Linked DNA regions of Notamacropus eugenii. The protein of the gene in region 1 interacts with the protein of each later gene in a pairwise test. Links are inferred from orthologs where the notes say so. Each region holds a gene or a part of one and is shown in the gene's direction. Other genes may lie near its edges.

Region 1 (12,140 bases):
TAGGCCTGAAACATCCCTGAGTCAGCTAATGGTCAGGACTGACTCAGGAATACCAGGCTGCTCTCATCAATGTCTTATTAGATAAGATAAATGTAAGGGAGTATGCATATGTCTAAGTCTGGGACACATATGATTGGTCAGTGAGTAGTAACTGTTGTTATGACCCAGTACACAGCCAGTTCAACCAGTACACAGATGGTTCATATTAATAAATTCTATAGGTACAACTGGCTACTATATCAGGAAGGGAGATAACAGTTGTTGCTGAGGCAAGCTGTGTCCATGGGCTGGGGAGAAACTGCCTGGGATAGTGTTTTGAGGCTAGGGAGAAATGTGATTTTTTAGAATTGGGGTCCAAGCACATGCACCCAAGTACCTTATCAGTCCTCAATAACTTTTTGTATTGTTCTGTATGACCTTAGGTACTTAATCTCTCACTTTTGGTGCTCTCTCACTGGAGTTTAGTTGTCCTAGTTGGTGAATCAGTGGACCTCCTGATCCCCGACCATGCTTCCAGTCATACACCCCAAAAATCTTGCCATCTAGCCCTGCCATGTTAATCCCAGCTTCATGTCAATTTCCTTACTTCCCCCCTCTTTCACCATGCTAATTGATATGAGAACTGTGATAGGTAGCTAGCTACCTATAAATACAAGAGGAAATGGAATAGTCCCTGCTCTCAGAGCCAAAGGCTGCAGGGAGGTTGAGGAGAATGAGGCTTGAGAAAAACTCATTGGATCTGACAACTAAGAGATCACTGGTAACTTTGCAGAGAACAGTTTTGGTGGAATAAAAAGGTCAGAAGCCAGGTTGTAACAAAAGTAGGGAACCTGTGACCTTAAACTTTCTAGGTCCTCAGGTTTAGCCTTTTGACTGAGTCCAAGTTTTACAGAACAAGTCCTTTTATTAAAGGGATTTGTTCTATGAAGTTTGGATTCAGTCAAGGGACTGCACTTGAGGACCTAGAGGGCCACATGTGACCTCAAGGCCACAGGTTTCCCATCCCTGAAGCAAGAGTAAGAGAAGAGAAAGTGAAGGCACCTATTGTGGATGGTCTTCTCAAGGAGTTTATCTGCAAAGGGTAGAAGAAATACAGGATGATCTTTAGTGTGGTTGGAAGTATCTGGTATTATCTGGTAGGTAGTAGGGAATGAGCTAATATACAGGTGGATATAGAGGAGTGGTAGCTAGGGAAAAGTATTTTGTTTGGGGAAACTATAGGGTTGATGAAGTGGAACTGTAAGAGAGTCAGTTCATATGCCCTTTTCAGAAGCAATTTATTATTTCTTTCCATTTCTCAGATACTAGAGATTCTCCTGATTCACACAGCAACCACCCTACTTCAGGTCCTCACCACCTGTCACCTTGACTATTGAAATGATGTAACTGAATTTTCTACTTCAAGTCCCTCCACACAACTACTAAAATGACTTTTATGTAAAAATGTAAGTCAGGTCATGTCACCAACCCAGGCACACACACTTAAAGCTCTTCACATTTCCAGTCTTATACTCCCTTCCACTTCTTCTAGCCTTAGTAGGCTACATCCTCACACAACACTCCATCTCCTGTCTGAGCCTTTGCAGTGGTTGTCTCCCCTGCTTGGCATGCTCTCCCTCCCATACTTCAACTCTCAGAATCTCTGACTGCCTGGGAAATTCAGCTCAAACTATACAGCTTTTTCAGGAAGCTTTTCCCAGTTCTTCCAACTTTCCCTTTGGAGGTTATTTTTCCATCTACATTGTATCTTGTACATACCTATTTAATATGTTACGTACTCCATGTAAGCTCCTTGAGAGCAGGGACTGTTTTTGCTTTTTGTCTTGTATCTATTCTCAGCACTAGCACAATGCTTTGCAAATAGTAAGTACTTTAAAAAATGTCTTTTGATTGGTTGATTAATAGAATAAAAGCTCTGAGGGAAGGGACTTTTGTATTTCCTCTTATATTCATAGTTCCCATATCAATTAGTAGGGAGAAAGAGGAGGGAGGTAAGGAAACGAATATGAACCTGTGATTAATGTTGACAGTGCTGGATGGCAAGATTGCTGAGGTATATGGCTGGAAACATGGTCTGGGACCAGGAGGTCTACTGATTTACCAACTAGGACAGCTAAACTCCAGTGAAAGAACCTCAAAACTGAGAGATTAAGTACCTAAGGTCATACAGAACAATACAAAAAGTTAAGTGCTACTTAGCACAGTGCCTAGCACATAGTAAGTGCTGATTTGTCCTTTCTTCCTTGATGTTCTCTTTTTTTCTAGGTTTCCAGGACACTGCTCTCTCCTGGTTTTTCTCCTTCCTATTTGACCTCTTCTCAGTCTCCTTTGTTGGATCCTCTTCCAGACCACACACCATCCAGAACACAACCCTGTTCCTTAGGGCCTGCCCTGTGCCCTCTTCTTTTCTCTCCCTACACTACTTCACTTGGTGATCTCACCAATGATCATAGATTTAATTACCATCTCTGTGCTAATTATTCTCAGATCTACCTTTCCTGCCCCAACACCTCTGCTGACCTTCAATCTCACATCTCAATTTCTTTCAGACATCTCAAACTGGATGTTCAGTAGACATATTAAACTAACTATGCCCCAAACAGAACTAATTCTCTTTACCCCTAAATACTCCACTTGTTACCCTGTAGAGGGTAACAGCATCTTCCCAGTCCCTTGGGCTCCCAACCTATCCTCAACCCCCATATCTAAGATTCTGCCAAGGCCTACCTATTTCACCTCTGTAACATCTCTCCTATATGCCCCCTTCTCTCCTCTGAAACTTCCACCATTCTAGTGCAAGCCCTCATTACCTCATGCTTAGACTATTTTTACCTTTTTGATATTTGTTAATATTCCTTTATTACACTTAAAAATCATATGGCTAGTCCTGGTACTGTCCTCCTTAAGTTCTGGTTTGTATATTTATTTTAGATATTTATTGCATATCTCTCCCATTCCCCTGTCTTCCCCCAAGGAACAATAAAAATAAGAAGTGATGAAGAGGCAGACTTCAGAAATAAAACCCTCATATAAATATGCATGGTCCAGCAAAACAAATTCCCACACTGGTCATGTTTAAAAAGTGTGTATTTCATTCCACATTTTATGTCCATTACTTCTCTGGTAGGAGTGTGCTTCATCTGTAATTCTCTGGCATGTTGGTTTATCATTGCAATGATCAGAATTCTAAAGTCATTTAATGTTGTTTTTTTTATAATGTCATTATTATGTAAACTGTCCTAGTTCTGTTCACTTTACATCTGTTCATAGTGGTCTTCTGTTTTCCTCTAAAACTGTACATTTTGTCACTTGGAATAATACAATAACATTCCATTAAATTCACATACCATAATTTATTTATCCATTCCGTAATGGTAGACCTCAATGTCCAGTTTAGGGAAGCTATAAAAAGAGCCAAAATAAATATTTTTTTGTTAATAAATATTTCATGTTAGATATTGGGACAAAATGAGACACTCACAATCACTGAATAGCTAACCAAAGAAGGTTTACTTTGCTCTAACAACAAGGATATGTAACCAGGATGCAGTAACACTTTGCAATAATGCCCAGGTTCTAGGTTTATTAGCTTTTGCATACTTGCATTTTAGGGGTATTTGGTCATACTAGCCAAACTGGTTTCACTTGTCAACAATTTGTAAAGTGCTTTGCAAATCTTAAAGTGTTGCATAAATATTAACCATTATTATTATTATCAATATTATCTAAAATTCCAAGTGGAAAATAAGTTATTCCAGACTAGTTCCTACTTAGAACCTGTTGGTTTCACTGTGAAACACGATTTAGCCTTTCTTTTCCCACAGGGATATCTTTAAGTAGTCCACACTGCTATTCCATGGAAAACTGGAGTTTTCCCCAGAGACACATGAGTTTTAAACCACACACTAGGCCTGAAATGACTTGAATAATCTTTCTCTATCATTTAGACACTTAAAGTGATTAATAACCAAAACCATAGGATTGTCTTTCAATCAACCAGGTCAAGATTAAATCCTGGGAATCTGGAGAGGGTTTTAATCCCTTGACTTATTTTCTTTTCCTGTATATGCCACACTAGACACTGGCTTCCTCCATTTCCCTCTCCTTCCCTCTCCTTCCCCCTGTTATGTGTCACAAAATGGCTATGATTGATAATAGTTTTATGTAAAGGACAAGATGTCTTCAAAGATTCTAATTAAATCAGGAGTTATATTTACACTTAAAGAACCATCAACCAATAAACATTTATTTAGCATCTACTGTGTGCCAGGTAGTGGGTTAAGCACTTCACAAATATTACCTCACCAAATATTCACCAAATATTACCTGGGAAGTAGGTGCTATCATTATCCTCATTTCACAGTCAAGAAAATCAAATTATGTGACTTGCTCAGGGTCACACAGCTAAGAAGTGTCTGAGACTATTTGAACTCAGGTCTGTTCTCACTCTAGGCCCAGCTCTCTATCCACTCTACTGCTTAGTTTCCTGGTATGTAATAGTAAAAATAATGAAAAGGCTAGCATTTATATAGAGTTCTAAGGTTTGCAAAGTGCCTTAATGATACCATTTGTTTGATCTTTCCAGAACTGTGAGGTAGGTGCTATTTTTATCCCCTTTTACAGATGGAGAAACTGGGGCTCAGAGAGGTTTAATGACTTGCCCAGTGTCGTTCAGCTAGTATCCGAGGCTGAATTTGAGATCAAGTCTTCCTAACTCCAAGTCCAGGGATCCAAATCCACTCTGTAAGTTAGCTACCAACAGTTGTTTCCTCAGGAGCTGCTACTAATGTCAAACCCACAGTGCAAAGAGTCTAATTTCCCTCTTTCATTTCCATGCCACTCTTCTTTCTGTTGCAAATCAGTCAAAAAGCCCCTGAAATGGCAGCCCTGCTAGCCCCAGCTCAGAGCCTGTAATGGTCTTTCCCAAGTTTGGAAAATAGAATTTTTTCTTTCCAGGACTACAGTTCTGAGAATTCACAATCAAGCTGTTTACCTTTTCATTGTGGGGAGAAACGCAGGTTGCCTGTTTAAGACATAGGTCCTTTTTTGTTTACTGCATATCCTGAAAAGCTTCTGACTTAACCTACAGGCTCCTTGCTTAGCAAGGGTGGAAGGACTTGTAGATGGTGTTTGGGGTTATTTATTTCTCTTTGTCAGGAATTGGTCCTTTGATGGCACTGGAGATTGTATATGTAATAAGATAACTTTGGCATGAAAACTTTTTAACCCCAAACAAAACTTATCTAACTTTTGTAATTCTGTATTTGTCATTTTTGTGGTGGTGTTTTGTTCTGCTTTAGACACTAGAGGGAACTGTGACTTTATGAGATTCTTCTCTCAGACACTAATGGAGATATCCCACAAACTGATTTCGTATGTTAGAACCTAAGCAAATGTATTGAAATCTTGCAAGAAAAGAGATCCTTTTAAAACATTTCCCAGATATTGAAACATGACACTTTACTTCTATTTAGTCCCACAGATTGAATGTTTTTCAAACTTTTTACTTGCCATGTTTTAGCTACTATTGTATGAAATTAAAGTCTGAGTGGTTTTTTTGTTTAGATTAAGTAGGAATAAATATACCTTCCAATATAATTTAAAAATTACTTCTTATAATTATATTTTTAACAGCTTTCCCCATGATAGTCAGAAAAATGGATCATTTTCTTTAGACAAGTTATTACTGACTCTATACATCCAGCCTACAACTGAAAGCAGCATTATACACATGTAAGTAATCAATTAATATTCATTGATTGACTTTTCTGAAGACTAACAGGAAGAGGTTGTGTTGCTATGCATTCCAAGAAATCCATGCTGAAAGCAGTGTAACTTTAAATGAGGTAGATTTATATGGGCTGCCTTTATAAAAATATTAGTCAAAGTAAACAAATCTGTTAATAATTAAATACTAGTGTGTTATATAAATAGCTGTCAATGCAGATTGAGAAAGAGAGCATTTATCCAGTAAGCTCAACTGGCAAACAGAAAGGAAATATATCTGCCAAAGGCTTTTAAAACCTTTTTGTTATAGCAAGTGAAAAAAATGCCTCTCTTGTTTAGGAGGCAGTATTCTCGTGTGAATGGTACATTTTGACTGTTTTTTGAATTCCTACTTTCTGTTTTTGTCATGGGACAGTTTGGAGTCTACAGAATTTTTCTTCTAGTAATTTCCTTGATAAAGAGCTCGGAGAGTACAAAACTGCTGGCAGAGTTTAAAAACTGCGGAGATGTGGAATGTGAAAGTAAGTATATGGAAAATAGCAACGTAAGTACATCGCATAAATATTAAAATGGAAATATTTGGTATAAATATTGGTATACCATTGGGAAAAAAATGAAGTTGTAAAGATTAGCTTTGTAGATTGCCTGTGAAAAATATTAGAAAAGAAGTGTTCTGTGGCATTACCTCACAGAAATGGTCAAAGGGTCAAAGTTTGGTATAAATTCAGATGACACAGAGGTCTTACCAGTTATCACAATCAAATTTGTTAGCATTTTAAAATGTACTTGTTTATTTACCATTTTATTTTCCCACTTATTCATTTTGTTTACTGGAGTACATAAAGACATTCTTGCTGATTTATATAACAAAAATTTTATTTTAATTTTTCAACTATGTTCTGAGTATCATTATTTCTCCAACAATTTAAAAAATATATTTAAGCCACCATGACTTATACTGGTGTGTGTGTGTGTGTGTGTGTGTGTGTGTGTGTGTGTGTGTATGTACAAATTTTAGCATCCCAGACCCTCAGGGATTCATGATTAATTTTTCATGTATTCCTTATGCAAACCTTTAGCCAATATCAAAGACTTCTCTCATGATTTTGTTTATGTATATGAGCAATGCAAGTTAGATTTTCTTTTTAAATCTACTACACAAAATATTTTGGTTATTGCATCTACTTTTAAGCTGACAGTATCATGCCCTACAATTTGCAAAATACTCTATTTACATTTATTGTTCCATGCTCACAGCTCTTTGAGGTGTAATAGTTGTTACTTTCCCCATTTTACAGACCTGGGACCTAATATTCTGAGTGATGAAATAAACTGCCCATGATCAACATAATCTGAAGTGTTCTCTTGAACCCAGGTCTCCTAATATTATGTGGTATAATTGTAGCCTAATAGATTAGAATGGCTTCAAATAAGTAATTATCGTCTGTCTTTTATGTAACCTTTATTTCTAAACTTTTGAAAAAGTACTTTTCTGAATCCTTTTTCTGAAAAGTAAACTAAAGTGAGGAACAAGATTTATCAGTCAACTGCTCATTTGTAATTAATTTCCTGTCTCAAATCTCTATTTTTCTCACATTTTCATATCTATAGAGTCATAGTTCAGACCAGTGATAGATATCAAATTCAAATATAAACAGGACCACTAAATTATATGTAAGAATCCTCTGGCTGCATATCGACCACATGTTAATTCTATTGAATTTTTCCCACTTATTCATTCTATCAAATTTTTCTTTATTTTCTTAAGTATTTCCCAATTCCATTTTAATCTAGTTTGGGCCAAATTTGGGAGTAGCCCACGGGCCTTGTGTTTGAAACCTCTGATTTTGATCAACAATAAAGAAGACATTCCAATTTGTGTAACTTTATGTGATATTTAAATTTAATTAGTGGTCTTATTAAATCAGTTTTTCACTGAGGAACATCACTACTCTAAGTATGAAATTATTTTAATGATTACAATATATACACATACCATACATTATGTTTGTATTAAAGGAATTAATCTTAGGCATTTGGTAAATTACTCATTCAACAGATTTTATTTTAAGTTCTCTTGTGAGCTGAGGGGAATAGGAAAGAAATGTAAAACACATTTCTTGCCTTCAACTTACTTATATAGATTAGAGAGCAAGACCTAACACCTATTAAATAATTGATACTACAATATGAGTAATGAAACATTAAGATCATAAATATAGAGAACAATTGATTTGTAGTAGAGTAGCTGAGCAAGGACTTAGCTGAACCCCAAAGGACTTTTAGTAGGATTTGTCAGAATTATTGGAAACCCCTTGAAATTTATCTAGTCAAACTCCTTCATTTTAAGAGTGAGGAAATTTCCCACAAAAGGAGAAATTTGCTCAACTTCATACAGCTAGATTTTCTAAATGGGTTCTTCTGACTCTAAATCTTTCCATATCATGATGGATGTTCAGATTTTGAGCCAGAAGGGACCATACAGATCAGTCCAATCCTCTCATTTTATAGATATGGAACTTGAGATGCAAATGGGATTAAGTGACTTGCTGAAGGCCAAAAATTTAGTAGAGATTGTATTTTAACTCCAGCTGTTTAAATCCAAATCCAGAACTTTTTCCATTATACAAACACTACTTAATTTTATTATTCTGAATTTACCAAACACCAAAAAGAACCCCAACACCTTACACATAGAAAGTAAAATGCAAAAATTAATTATAACTGAAATTATGTAACAAATTTTATACAGAATATTTTTTAAAAAGTTATATGATAAATTCAGCATGTTTCTTTCAAAGCTGTTTTGTCTATTTCCCTCTAAACTTTTTTATATTTCTGTCTGAGCATTTTTTAAGATGGTTCAATGACCTCTTTTGTTTCTTCTCTTTCTTTTTTTGCAACTCCTGTCTCCTTTCCCTACAAATAAAAATTGGAAAAACATAATCTTTGTAAAAACTAAGCACCATCAAGCAAAATAAATCATTAAAATCACCATATCCACATCCTTATCCTATACCTTGGGTCTACCAACCAATCTTCTATCAGGAGATGAAAAACAGTTTTTATCATCTAACTTTTGAAGTCTTGGCACAGGCAGGGAGAATATCGCAGTTACACGAACTAGTAATGCACATGGTGTGTTCAGAGGACATTAAAAAGATTATTGGATAGACATGAGAGGAAAAAGTTGGATATGCAGTAGGGAACCATTGGAGATTTTTAAATAGGGGAATTGTTTGATGAAATTGGTATTTTGAAAATGAATTTGGGAGCAGTTAGGTAGTGCAGTAGATAGGACACCTGCCCTAGAGATAGGATGGGATATCAGTTCAAATCTGGCCCCAGAAACTTACAAACTGTGTGATGCTGGGCAAGTCACTTAACTCCAATTGATTCCAGAAAAGAAAAATGAAAGACAAAAAGGAAGAAAATTAATCTGACTTGTGATATGAAGGATGGTTTGAAGGGAGAAGAGACTAGAGATAGAACATTTTTAAATATTAGTGTTTAAAATGTGTATTTTCTTTAAATATTTACATAGCTTTAATAAGCAGAGCCGTGGCCATAAGAGATTATGAAGGATCTGACTGCCAATACTTGAGCTTCAAAACGGGAGAAGAGATATCTGTTTACGCCAAACTTTCAGGAGAAAGAGAAGATTTGTGGGCAGGAAGTGTAAGTATCTTATTTAACACTGAATTCAGAAACAACATTTGGATATCTAGGATGGGATTAAGATAAGTAAAATATATTTTGTATTTCTAAAAGAGCTTTCATCTGAAGTTATGAAAGCACTTTGTAGATATTAAAGCCTTTAAACACATCTGAAAATCTGAACAGAATTGGTCACTTATGGGAAAGAATGAAAGTATTCATTAGATTCAAAGATGTGCTTTCTGTCAAAAGAGAATGGACATGTTACTATAGAAGACTTCTAGTGAAAGAATCATTGCCTGGGAAAGAAAGAAGCGTATTTTTCATAGGGAAAACAACTTCTATTTGGCCCAAAGTCCAGGTAGATTGAGTATCACAAAAGCTTCATTGTTTCAGATTACTTTCCTGAGTCATTAACATGAATAAATTAATGATTAATGCTTTCAGTGGGAAATAAGTTTGTGTAACGGTATCATTGTCTCTCAGTTAAGAAATGTTATGACTAATCATCTTGTTACCAAATTGTATAAGTATGACAGACTAGCTAAAGATACGTGTTTTCCTCACTGAACATGTATAGTGTTAGCAATCATGGCCACTGTTTAAAACTGAAACTCTGCCTGTTCATCTCAAGGACAATATATCACTTTGCTCAGTGTGAACATCTGATTTACACACTGGAAGGTTTTGGCTGCTTTTCTTGTCTTGATTCCATCTCCTTGCTTCAATATTTGCAGTTTCCAGAAAAAAAAAAATCATGTGATGATTTAAAAAAAAAATCACTATCATTTCCTACTGATTCTACCCTCTTCCTTCTAATAAGTAAAGTCAGTCAAAGCATATCAGCACATAGGCATCAACCTTCATTCCAGATCTCTGGCGTAGTGCCTTTCTGCTGAGAGGTAGAAATCATTCTTCATCTAAAGCATTCTTCAGTCATTCCTAACTGAGCAGGGTATCCTTGCTTGCCTGTGTAAGTCTGATTGTTTTATAAAAGAATTTGTACCTTTCTTTTTTTCAGACATGTGGTTACTTGAGATCCTAGTGTGTACAGGGTAACCCTAAGGGTTTTTTGTTTTGTATTTCATAGATTATCTATGCTAGGGATCCTGTATTTCTGGCATGGGAAGTTAAAACATCTTGCTTTGAGCTACTGAGTTAACAGTTTAGTTTCATCATGATCTGATAACTCTCTCAAGGAGAATCTTTAAACTTGAACTCAGAGCTCATCAGAGATTCCCTGTTGGATTGCTGATGGTGTGAACACTGGTTCAAGACTCTAAATTTTGCTTCCTACTCCCACACCCTACCCCCACTTTTTTGCTTGAAGGGATGGAGGGATTTGGAAGAGACTAGAAATATCTAGTGTTACATTTAAAATAAGCTTGACTAATAATAACAATACCTTGCCACTTGTATATGACTAAAGTTTACAAAGAACTTTAACAAATATTATCCTCACTTATCCCTCACAACAACCCTTGAAAGTAGTGGCTATTTATTATCTCCATTGTGCAGATGAGGAAATTGAAGTAGACACAGGTTAAGTGATTTATCTAGGATCATAGCTAGTAAATGTCTGAGTCAGAATTTGAACTCAGGTCTTTCTAACTCCCAAGTCCAGCTGGCTATCTACTGTACTATCTGGCTGCTCTTAGATGACCTCAAAGATCCCTTTTCAGCTCTAAATTTATAATCCTATAAGTCTTTTTATATTTAGAGCATGTATCTGTTTGGAGCTAATATTGCAGCTTAGTGATTCGGTAGATAGAGTGTCAGGGTAGGGAATCAGGAAGACTCATTTTCCTGAGTTCAAATCTGGCCTGAGATACTAGCTGTATGACCATGGGCAAGTCACTTAACCCTGTCTGCTTCAGTTTCTTCATCTGCAAAATAAGTTGTTGAAGGAAGTGGCAAGCTATTCCAGTATTATTGCCAAGAAGACCCCAAATGAGGTCACAAAACATAGGACATGATCGAAAAATGACTGAAGAAAAATTATATCATCAGGGCAGATCTGGGCCTGCCTGAAGAGCCAAGCGGAAAGAAAGAATAGTGTTCTTAGACCCACCATGTTGTGAAGATGCAAAATTTATTAGAAAACATAAGAACCTAAGTAAAATGATCTACTGATATCTTAATTTAGGAACAGTAATACAAGTTGTCACTTTACTGGAATTAAAGTTATCTGTAGCAGTTGCCACACCAGTGAGAGGTACCATTGCTGGTGTTAGAAGACCAAAATACAGTAGGTTCTTTTAATCTTGGGGAAAGACATAAACTAAGGAAACTGTGTGAAAGAAGCTGAAAGGAATCCCTACTTTCACAGAATGTTTCATTTGAAGTGGTCTGGGAGGAGTCCCCTGCACAACCTCTGAAAAGCATAATGCAAACTGGTCCTCTTTTGTTTGGGATAGATCAAGGACATAGAGTAGTTCACTCAGACATGGCTCTCCTGTCTCTTATTCTTTGCTCAGAAACTAAAACCCTTACCTGCTATTTACAACTTGAATTCTGGGAGTGTGACGTTCACGTCTGTGCTATGTCTAAGCCAATCAAGGCAACCCTCAATTTACAAATTAGCCTTTCTTGTGCACAGAGTACATAGTGATAGGAATGGGGAATGGCAAGGAAGGGAGTAAAATTTAATATAAATTGCCTGTTTCTCCTGACTTCTGTATTTAAAACAAAGACATTTTAGCATCTGGATATTTTCTATTTCACATTGTAGAAGCAACAAGCTATCCTTTATCCTT
Region 2 (12,111 bases), on another chromosome or scaffold:
CCAGGAGTCCAAGAAACAACACCAGGAGATTGTCTCAGTTTACAGAATGCATCTTCTGTATGCTGTACAGGTACAGTCAATCTACAGAAATATCTCCCCTCTCTCTTAACCAAAAAAAATTTTTTTAAAGTTGTCCCATTAGCTAAGTCATCCAAAGAAGCAGACTTAACAAAAAACACCAACAACAGATACGAGCACTGACATAGGAGGGCAAAAAGCAGGGGCTTCTTTAATTTAAAATATTAAAGGGTTTTTTTTTAATTGACTTTTGTCTACTGGAAGAAATTGTGTCCTTCCCTCTCAGCTCCTTTCTTCAAAGACTAAGTGGGAAATTGAGAGGCAGAATTCCCTGGAAGTATTTTAATAATTTGCTCTCCTTTGTATAGTCAGATGGTACTGTTGATGTATATTCCACAGAACATGTGGTTTTTTAGTGTTTCCATTGGTGGTGATGAGTTTTTCCACTGAATCCTATCCTTGTTGTCCTCATTTGGAGTAATGACTTACTTGCCTGGGGCTAAGACTTCAATGTGGTAACTAATTAGATTTGATAACATTGGCCAGTGGCAGCCTTAGGTCACTGAATACCTGAGAGAAAAGTCACTTGACCTCTGTTGTAATTTCCTCTGGAAGTGAAATATCCAGACCTGTACAGTAGGGCTGACCCTTTCCCTACTGAGGGGATAGAAGAGTTTCTGGGTAAAGGGCTTCATGATTGTCAGATGGTTCACCACAAGTAATGGGGATGTTATGGTCTATATTTGTTCAAATGTGTTCTCTGTTATATTGATTGTATTTTTATCTGAATTTCCTAGGGCCAGATGGATGAAGATGTCCAGAAAGTACTGAAGCAAATCCTCACCATGTGTAAAAACCAATCACAAAAGAAGTGAGAGACTCTGGGACTCAGTGCCAACCCCTCACATTTGCCATATTTGCCTTAAAGCAGGAGTTAAGGTTGGCAGCCACTGCCATTTTTCTCATCTGTTTGTATGCACTGTGAGTTCACATAGCTGCCCTCTCAAGCTTCTTCCCTACACAAGGACTTCTGAGGACTGTCCCCAAGGGAAGACCTTCCATTCTTCAGAATCGTCTGTTGACTTTAAGACCTAAAGTACTAGCCTTGTGATGAGCTGAGGTTGTTAAGTCCAGATCTTGGTGCTAGCTGATGACACACCTGGTTTGGGTCTGTGCGACTAAGGGACTCCACTGAGATGGTCCGTTGGATGGTGGTGACCTGCAAACCCCCACAGGTCTTGGTGTTAGTCAATCCCAGCTGTTGCAAATCTTGTGGTGAATGCTGTTGCAACTCCTTTTCCCATGGCTGCCCTCCACCCCTACTTTTAGTTAGAAGCACTCAAGATTTTAGGCTGACATTAACCTTTAACATGATTTAATTGCTAACCAAATTAACCCTGGCACTGGTTACAAGGTACACTACAAAACCCCCTCATCATGTCCTCTGGATGGAGTACATACTTAGTTCCCAACCATTTTTTTTTCCCTTCTCCTACCTTTCATCTCTTAGAGCTGTGCTGTTCAGTCCAGCAATTGGATGAATAGGATTAACTAAAATATATAGGTTAAAAACATAAATGAGTTGATTTTAAAGATTTCAGAAAACAAAAAACCTTTAAATGACACATTGCAAACAACCTATGCAAGCTTGCCTACTACTAGTGTTGTCCATAAAGCTCAGGAAATCCAAGTCCATGTTTTTCAACAAGGGGTTACAGTAAACAGTTCGTTTACAACTAAAAGAAATGCCTCGTAGTTCCTAACCTCACTTTTGTAAAGATGTTTTTTCTCCATTATATTTTTATTGGCCATTACAGATTTTTGGTACCTAAGCCATTTACTACATAAAATTTGCATTACACTATGTTAACACAATATTTTAGATAACCATGATTTAGACTTAAAATGTCTTTGGGTAAAAGTTTTCAGCTGTAGCAAAATGTACTAGAAATACTCTCAGCTCATCACAAAGTCCCAGCAGATACTAGGAAGGAGGTTTGGCCATCTGTTTGTGCTCTTGGAGCTGTCAAGCATTCCTGATGAACATCCGCCTTGCTCTTTTGGCTAAGTGTCAGGACATCATAACTGTGTTTACTTTTCCAAACATTGGGAGCATGGCTAATACCAGTCATTGAAAATTGGTAAAACCCTGATATGGTCCAGCCCTCATAATGCATAGCAAATATCTAAGGAAGAAATACTTTTCTATTCCTGTGCCATACTTAGAAGTTAAAACTTGTCTAAATTGCTTGTAGCTTCACTTATGGCCTTGTTCTTACTGAGGTATACAAATATTTAAAAAAAAATCTTTGAGGTGTTTCACCCAGAAGCTGTGTCTGCTTTGACTGAATGGACAGTGTGGCTCAAGGCTTCCTGAATTCAGTGCTGTCTAGAGCACATGCTCTCTAAACACTGGCAAAGCAAAATGGCTTTAAAACTTCCTGTCAAATAATATAGGTCTTGGTGTTACTTCAGTTGTTTAATTAACTGTAATTTGATAATTTTGAAAAAGCTCCAAAGAAATGTGAAAGGACTTTTTTGGGGGGTCAGCACTTAAGAGAACACACACACACAAAATATTTCAGCACACAAATGCTGCAGAATCTAAAACTTGAGACATTTTATAGGTTTCCTGACAATTTTAGTCTTTTACTTTGTTTCATTATGCGTATTTATTACAAGTATCCTGGTTAAATATTGAAAAGTTATACACTATAGTCTAGCATTTTTGTCTTTGTAATTTACAGGAGTTTATGCAGAAAATAAACTTTGTTTCCATCGTTTTCATCTCTGTCCAGTTTTTAATGTCCTTATTCACCACTTACACAGTTTGGGAAGAAATGTTGTATTTAGCTGTTAATACTCTTTGAGGGAGAAGCCATCCTATTTTAGCTATATCCATTAGAAGGAGTTATCAAACGAAAAATACTTATCTGCCAGTATGGTAGCTCCCACCTGCCTAATCCCTGCTGCTGGGGAGCTATTGGATCACGAGCTCGGGAGTTCTGAGCTGCTGTGTGGCTAAAGTCAATTAAATCCATCGTGGATGTGAGTATAATTAGCCCAAAGAACAGGAAGTTTGGAGGGAGGTATAGAGGAATGGGGGAGGGGGCCAGTTAGGAGGCTGTTGCAGTATTCCAAATGAGAGGTGATAAGGGCCTGAACTACAGTGATGGCTTCATGAGTAAAGATGCTCCAGACAAGATCTGACAAGTGATTGTGACATTCGGGGTGAGTGAGGAGTTAAGGGTGACACCACGGTTGTGAACTTGAGTGACTACAAGATTCCCTCAGTAGTAACGTAATGATATATGAAAAACATCACAACTCATTCATGCTGGGGTATTTCTATGATACTGGCTCTTTCTCACAAACACAAAACGGAGGGGCCGGGGTAGGGTTGGATCTTACTCATGGGTCAATGTCACAATGTATAAAGCCTACCCACCCAAGGGTGACGATCCCTCATCACATTGCTAATTCATCTCAAACTTGCAGTCCACCGAAAACCCCAGATATTTTTCAGAACTGCTACCTATAGAGACCTAGATATCTCTATATACTGCCCTTATCTTGTCATTTGATTTTTCATACCCAAATATAAGATTTTTCATTTATCCCTTATTACCTCATTTCATTAGATTAATCTTAATACTCTAACCTGTCAAGAGCTTCTTGGATCTTAAATCTGCTATCCAGTGGGTTAACTAACTATTCTTTGTTCATCTGCAGTTTTGGTGAGTATGCCATGTATGCCTTCATCTGAGGAACAGATTACTCAAACCCATATGACCCATTCCAAGTCCAGTATTCTTTCTATTGACTTCCATGAAGCTTAAGAAGGAGGACGATGAGAAAACAAGACCAGAATTAGTGACCATGTGCTTCTCTTTGTAAATAACTGCCTATATTCAGTGCGTCACAGCGTAGGGATAACGATCTCCCTCCACCTTTCACAGAAAAAGAAGCTCAAAGATGTGTCCAAAGGCATGAAGCAATATGATGACTAAGCCAAACTTCTATGTTTCTGTTGTATGTACAGTTTTCTTCCCTTCTTACTCCCAGGTTGCATATATTATTAGAAGGGTTACTTTATTAATAACTCAGCATTTTCTTTAGGGTGACCCAATTAGGTCTCTTATGAACATTTTAAGGGAACACATAATAGTGACCTCCCAAACCTAAAGCTACCTGGGACCTAGAAACCTTACTTCCCTTTTAATATAATTATGTGGCTATTAGTGTGGGCAGCTAGGTGGAGCAATGGGTAAGGTACCAAGTCTGGAGTCAGTGAGATTCATCTTCCTGAATTCAAATCTAGTTTCAGACACTAACTGTGGGTCCCTGGGCAAGGCACATAACCCAGTTTGCCTGTGGCAAACCACTGCAGTATCTTTGCCAAGAAAATCCCAAATGGGGTCATGAAGAGTCAGATACAATTGAAACTACTGAACAACAAAAAAACCATTAGTGCCAGGACCAAATATATCCATAGCAGAATAACCCTACCCCATCCCAATACATTTTTTTATCCAGGTGAAATCAAGTTAAAGTCAATCCCAAGTATCTAATAGACTCATCTTTTTAGTGCCAGCTGGCACAGATAACTACTCTTCACCCTGCTGCCTGCATCCTCAAGTCAATGACCCAGCACTCTGGTCCTGTGGGGATTGAGATGATTACCTACCCTCTTACCACCCCATCCCACTCCTTACTCCCCCCTTCCCATTTACTGTATCACAAAGACAATTTGTATAACCGTATACCATATAACAAAGACAATTTCTTCCCCCATACTTCCAAATGCAAAAGTACAGACATTTTTTAAATCCCTCTTTTTTCCTGGAAAGGCATCATCTCTAAATAACCTGACACAGCTTCTAATGCTTGCAGATTGATTACTTGGATTGTTGAAGGTTAAAGAAAAATAAGTATTAGAGAAGAGGACTCAGCCCTACCCGAATAGCTGCCTTCCATAATCCCTAAACATTAAATATTGTCCAAATGACCCCTGGGGATTGCAAAGGTGTTGAAGATGTATTTCTTCCTTGTTGAATGGAGGAAGATCGAGGAGGTGGGCTCTCCTTTGCTTGGTGCCTTGAGAGCCCATCATTTAACTCTACCATTGGAATCAAGTTTTATTTGAAGGACTACTTAATCACTTAGGCTGAAGGGCAGTTGGCTGACATGACTCAAAAGTATAAAACACTCCAAATCTGGAAATGGGATGAATTATAACCCTCTTCGTTTTTACAGATAAAGAACACAGTGCCCAGAGAAGTTAATGCAGAGCATCAAATCAATTTGTAGAGCTAGCCACACACCACAAGGCCAAGGAACCTGATGTTGTCCATTTCGGATGTGTGACCACCTCATCAACTAACCCAGCAATTCCTTCTAGGACTGGTGCGTTGTCTTTCCCCATTAGACTGTAAGTCTCTTGAGGGAGGACACCATTTTGCATATTTATTTCCAGCACTTAGCACAGTGTTTGGCACACAGTAATCATTTAATAAATGTTTATTGACTGGCTGTAATTATTACTCTTGCATAGGTTACTCTGGACCAGACCTACCTTTTCCCGAATAGTGAAGGCTGTGCCTGCTATGAAAATGGGATTTGAGCGAGGGGAAAAAATACTCCTTTCCTGGACTTCTTTAGCCATCTTCCCCCGAAATTTCCCCCATTAGCAATACATTCCTTTGTGTTAAATCACTCCCTCCTCAAGACGGCCTTTGGCGGTATGGAAAGAGCTGTTTAACCACAGGACTGGCTGTGTGACCTTGGGCAGCTTTTTAACTTTCCTCTGTAAACTCGGAATAATACTTGTACCACTGATCTCACAAATTCTGGTTAAAAAATCAAATGAAATAGTGCATGAGAAGCAGTTCTCCAAACAAACGTGAGCAGTCATCCTTTACAATGCAAACGCCACTGTGAAGGGATGGCAGTACCCCAGACCTGTCTGAACTGGTGCTATTTTTTCTGGGCTCGGAAGGGAGAACCTAGAGCTTCGATTAAGACTGGATTGAATGCAGATTGCTAAGGGCGGATAGGGAGCGGTCCCTCAAATCAGGCGCGCCTACTTGGCTCGCTCCTATACTCTCCCCATGCACGTGGGTCCCCCTCTTCTTGCTCGCACACAGGGGCTTTTTTTGGAGCAGATCTGGGGATGTGGAAAGAGTGAGCAGGCTTTCCTAGGGGAAGGATGATCTGTGCTCCGGTCATGCCCTCACCCCACCCAGAGAAGCGGTCAAGGAACAGGAAAGGGTGGGAAGCGGGGCGCGCCCTCATCCCCTCCTGCGGCGGGCACCGTGCCCATCGCTCCCCGCCGTCTCCTCCTTCTCCTGCCAGCTCGAGCTCCCAGCGCACGGGGCATCCCTTCGTTCGGTTGCCGCGGCAACCGCCAAGGCTGCGTTCGGTGTTCGCTCAGCACCAAGGATGCCCGCCGCAGCGGCCGCGGCGTTCTGTTGCCTTGGTAACCCCCATTGTCTGGCTCCCCCGCCTGCCTCTCTCAGGCGGAGGAGAAGGGTCCCTAGTGCCCCTCGGCTCTCCCGACGGAGGATGCGCTCTCCTGCTGGCAAAGCGCCCTGACATTCCCACGGGAAACCAGGCTGCCCCCTAAGCAAGCGGCTTCTCCCCTGCTCCCACCTCTCCGCACCATTGGAGCCGGGAAGGAGAATTTTTGATTGTGTGTTTCCACTCTCTTTCTCAGGTAATCAGTGCCCCCCGACCCTGGAGACGGTCAGGAAAGGGGTTCAGTGCCTCCCGGGCAAGGGACGGCCCCGGTCCCCACACCCTGGGAGAAGCCCCTGCGGGCCCAGAATTGAGGAATAAAGCAACTTTAGGGAAAGAAAAACGAGACTGAACCCCTCGCCACCTCCCTTCCTCCCCAACATGTGGTTTCCTGGAGGGCTTTCCAAGGTCATTTATGATTTCACCACGCAGCATAGAAGAGACCATCATCATAACTGACGTTTCTGTAGTGCTATAAAGCCTCTTGTTAAACACACAACACCTCATAACTCACAACAGGACTATGGGGTAGGTACTACAGGCACTATGTTTATCACCATGTTACCGGCGAGGGAACTGACACCGCTGGGAAGCGTTAGAAGGCAGAAAGTGGACCGAGGTGTTGCTGACTCCTCGTCCAGCCTGCACGTTTCACTCCACCGTCCACTACCCTGTGCTGCCCTCTCCCAGCATATGGCTTATGAGAGTTATTATTGCTTCTAGTTCTATTAGAATTACTTATATATACCCCAATACTTAAAATTTCCTCAGGGTGAGTTCACCTCTCACAGCCATCTGCGGGCTGGAGCCACTTTATAACTTAGTGGATGGTCTTCAGGAGTTGTTGTGGTCAATACATTCATCACCTAGCATCCAACCTGGTGGACCCTGGGGCAGAAAGGTTGGTTCCTGTTTGACACATCTTCATCTCTGGGTTCCTTCTTGAAGTCTCTCTCTCTCTCTGTCTCACTGTCTCTCTGTCTCTGTCTCTGTCTCTCTGTCTCTGTCTCTGTCTCTCTGTCTCTGTCTCTCTGTCTCTGTCTCTCTCTCTCTCTCTCTCCATTTCTCCTTCTCACCCCCAGCATATCCAGTAGCAGAGCCCACGGTCATCTTTAACCTCCATGAGAACTTGAATGGGTTATTAGTTCAAGATGATAATTATTATAGTATAATAAAATAATGAATAATTATAACAGCTCACATTTATGTATTTCATTAAGACTCACAAATTACAACAACTGTGAGGTTATCATCCCCCTTTTACCGATTACAAAACCAAGACTCAAAGAGACTGAATGACTTGCCCTTGGTCACTTGTCCACAAAGCTCTGCAACTCAAACCCAGTCTTGACACTAAATTATAATGAGTGATAAACAGGCCAGATTTAACATTCTCTGAGGTTATGTGGGGAAAAGAGAGGCAATATGGTTTTGGATAGTGGATAGGATGCTGGACTTGGAAATTTGGGTTCAAATTCTACTTCTGACACATTATGATCTTAGGTAAGTCACTTCATCAGGTATCCTTAGGCAACTCTCTAAAAGTACAAACTATATAGATGACTTTATCCCACACATAGGGAAGAAATCACAGATTATTAACCAGATGTCCTTGAATGTTGTGTTCCTCAAGGATCTGTGATTGACTTCATCTGAATGGTCAGGATTCGTCAATGTTTTGTTTAGAAGACAGCATGGCACAGTGGAATGTACATTGGACCTGGAGTCAGGAGACCTAGGTTCAAATTCTGCTTTGGACATTTTCTAGCTGTTGGACATGGGAAAGGGAAGCATTTATCCTCACAGAGCCTCAGTTTCTTCATCCACCAAATGGGAATAACAATACTTGTACTACTCCCCCCACCTTAGATTTAACTGAGAAAAGTGCTATGCGGAACTTAATTTGATATGTAAACTCAAATAATTATACTGAAATCTCATATTTGGTTTTAGTGCCTTTTAACACCTATTTTAACCAATTCTCCTCCCCTCACCTCGCTCTCTTGTCACAAAGAAAAATATTTAAATGTGACCAGAAGAATCCTTTCCCCACAAAGGGCTTCCTCTGTATTTCACATTGTCTCAGTTCATCCAGAGGTAACTCTCTGTCTTTATGATTCATTGCCCCCCACCCAACAATAACTATGGAGAAATCTATGAAACCAAATTTAAGTATACTGCTCATGTTCACAAAAAGCAGGTAATAGGAACCTTCTAAAAAGCCCAATGTGGACATCAAGCATTTTATTTCTTCTATCATTGAGATAGCTTAAAACACAGAAACCTCATCAGGCACATCAACAAATCACAAAAATATAAAACAGTATTACCCATCATGCATATGTGTGAGTCTCCTAAAAGGTAAAAATGACTGTGAGACTAAAGAAATGGATATTTCATTTTCATCTCATGCCTGTGCTCTTTGAGCAACTATTGCCCAGTCCAGATTTCCTGCACAAACTTGGGCTTTCTTAGTTGCTTTTACCGGTAGCATTCTTGGTGTGCTTTTCCTTATGAATGTACTGCTATTGGGGAAATAATCTCTGGCCACCAGGGACAGAAACATCCATTTCTCAAATTTGTTGGTCACCTGCTTGTATTAGGGGAGACTACAAAAAGGGGGAAGGTGGTCACCTAGCAAACATGTTTTTATTGTCATGATTTCTCCTACCTTTCAGCAACTGGAAGAGTGAGTCCTGAAAAAGAAGTGTTTCTTCTTGGTTCCTCCTGTAGCTTACCACACACATAGCTCCTCCTGACTCTGAAACCAGTTATCTTCGATGCCATCCCTGTATCTGGCAACCAGTCAGGAGTTGTGTCATTTCAATGAAGCACAGGTCCCAAAGAGAGACTAGAATACATGTGCCCAGTTTCCCTTGCTCAGTCCCACTAAATAAGCCAAAGTAGACACAGTGACTAAATCTGACAGGGTAGATGCCACATCCCACATCCACCTCTTTACAGAGCAGTGTTCAAACCTTATTTTTAGCCATGCATTTGAATTGTATCCAGCAGAGTTTCTAACAAATGGGAAAATAGACTGATGAGTTTCACTTCCATTAACGTTTCTCATCTACTAGTGAAATAAAGACGATGAAGTTCTAACTGCTATCTCTATATGACCCTGGCCAAGTCACTCTATTTCTTTCTGACTCAGAGGAAAATGACCTCAAGTCCTTTTGAGTTTGTAGTTCTTCTCCCTGTTCAACTGGATAGTTAGCCACAGAAAAAATGAAGAATGGTCATATTTAACTATTTCAATTTTATAATAGCCTTATATTTATCTATTTCAATTTTATATAGTCTTTCCTCCCACAGTCCTAACATCAGCGAGTGAAATGGCTGGTTGATTCATGAGCTGTAAGTGTGCTGGGCTTTAAAACAGAAAGCAATATGAACTGGGGTGGCTATGAATAAGGCAAAAATCATGATAGGATATTAATTCAAAATGGGAAATTTAGTTTTAATTTAAAAATTGTGCTATTGGCCTTTTTAATTTTGTGCCCTCCCAAAAGAAGTAACCATGAAAAAATGTATGTATATAATTATAGGTCTATAGTCATAATTATATTTATGTATTATATAATGGTAGTCACATAGTTATAGTTATATAGGATATATAGCTATGGCAATATATGCAATTACATAGTTTTATATAATGATAATGTTATATATCCATATACATACATACATATGTACATACATATATGCATATACATATTTATATATACGTGTGTGTGTATATATATACATATGTGTCTGTATATATATAAAACTCTCTGTGTGGAGCTGCACTGTGTTTTTTATGAAATCTCTCATTTAACTGATAATCGATCTACAATCAATGGCAAGAGAAAAGAGGAAGCTCCTGCACATCTCATAACCAGAACTTTATTTTAGTCAGTTGTGCTTCTCTGTAGAAAGAAGATGAAATCTTGTCCTATCAATATCCCTACTGAGGTCAGCAACACAACCTGGAACTCCTGTTTCTGCAAGTAAGCAGAACTGAACTTTGTAGCCTGCAGTAATTCAGGAGACATGGAATGGGACCTCCCAATCATGAAGAATCTTTGGTGAGAGTTTTTTTTAAAAACAGTAATAGATGTATTATATAATATCTGTAGCTCTTCTGTATCTTTATTCTACCTAATGAACCCCCACTGGCACCAGCAAAGCATTAAAGTTTTGGTCCAGGTGTCTGGAATTTGTGACTCAAGTGAAAACTACAATGGAAGAATCAAATTTTCTTCGCACTATTTATATCCTGAGCCAGCATAGTACAATGGGAAGAATACTGACTCTGGAGTCAGGAGGCCCTGGGATCAAAGGTGACTTCTGATTCTTGCTACCTATGTGACCTTTGGACAAATCACTTCAATCCCCTTGGAGTCTTAGTTCCCTCATCTATAAATTGAGGGGATAAGGGAGTATAGACTAGATCAATGGTGACAAAGCTCAAATAGAAATGGGGCCGCTAAACTGTACAGATTGCATATTGACTTAGAAAAGTGCTAATATTAATATTTATGCTTTTTTGTATTTTTATTTGTTTTGTTTAAATATTTACTAATTACATTTTAATCTGTTTTGACACACACTCAGGAGTGTCATAGGCTGCAAGTGGCCTGAGGGCCAGATGTTTGACTATGTACTGATTGTCCTCTAAGAACCTAGTTAAACAAAATAAGGCCATGAGAAGATTCTTTGGACCATTAGAGACCTTCCTCCAAGCTGACAAACTTTAAATGACTCCTTGGCTCTGATCATTCAACCATTTCCAGAGCTACCTACCAGCCCATTATCTAGCCCACACCTCTCCACAAGAATAATATGTTTTGCTGAAATCAGATGCTTTGCTGAAATCCAGGGGAACCATATCCTGATCTTTGAGTTATACTGTGAAATAACGTTAATGTGGCATGATCTATTTATGCCCAATGAAGCCATGGTGGTTCTTTATGATAACTGTTTTCCTTTCAAGATGTTAACTAGCCATATCTTTTCTAATACATCATATAATTTTAGCAGGCATTGAAGTCAAGTTTCTTTGCCTATAATTTATAGACTTTACTCACTTCCCTTTATAGACTATTGGGATATTTGCCTTTGTCTGGTCCTATAGTATTTCCCTGTCATCCTATGCTCTTCTAATGATCACTGAGCATAACTCAACAATCTGCTATAAAATATCCAGGTCCTCCTCTCTTATTTCATCTGATTATTTTCTATAAAACTACCTACCACTTTCCTTCAGATTAAGGGTTCTAAAAGTATGTTTTGAATTCTTAGCATCTCTTCCAACCTCCGGATCTGAATTCTCTTTTTTCTTTCCATATTAGTCTACTAGAGGGTCCCCACTTAATCAATGGATAATATTTGTGCCCTCCCTCCTATTACAGTGCAGAACTTTTTTATGCATGGAAGTTTTCAAAAGTTTTGCGACTCATGGGTCCCCTTATTCCATTTAAATTCCTGCTTCCTAACTCTTAACAAACCTGACCCCAATTAATAGAAAAACATGATATTTTATGGTTGAGACACCATTTCAACTGTTTTATTTTTGCCATATATGACAAG

Evidence for each region.
Region 2: the proteins of MIA2 (region 1) and TTC23L interact in binary tests that used the Homo sapiens proteins (3 or more experiments, as listed by UniProt). The two-hybrid records come from large-scale screens. The link is inferred for Notamacropus eugenii from reciprocal best matches to the Homo sapiens genes MIA2 and TTC23L.

The regions. Positions count from the first base shown.
Region 1 is NC_092872.1:331,983,170-331,995,309, forward strand, and holds the start of MIA2 (melanoma inhibitory activity protein 2), read left to right. Parts: upstream 1-5,949; 5' UTR 5,950-6,133; coding exon 6,134-6,248; intron 6,249-9,271; coding exon 9,272-9,405; intron 9,406-12,140. UniProt on the Homo sapiens protein: Plays a role in the transport of cargos that are too large to fit into COPII-coated vesicles and require specific mechanisms to be incorporated into membrane-bound carriers and exported from the endoplasmic reticulum.
Region 2 is NC_092875.1:426,593,504-426,605,614, reverse strand, and holds the start of TTC23L (tetratricopeptide repeat protein 23-like), read left to right. Parts: upstream 1-6,505; 5' UTR 6,506-6,733; intron 6,734-7,305; exon of another isoform or gene 7,306-7,435; intron 7,436-10,454; 5' UTR 10,455-10,572; coding exon 10,573-10,607; intron 10,608-12,111. Other genes in the region: RAI14 (ankycorbin), read left to right, coding at 5-70, 816-893.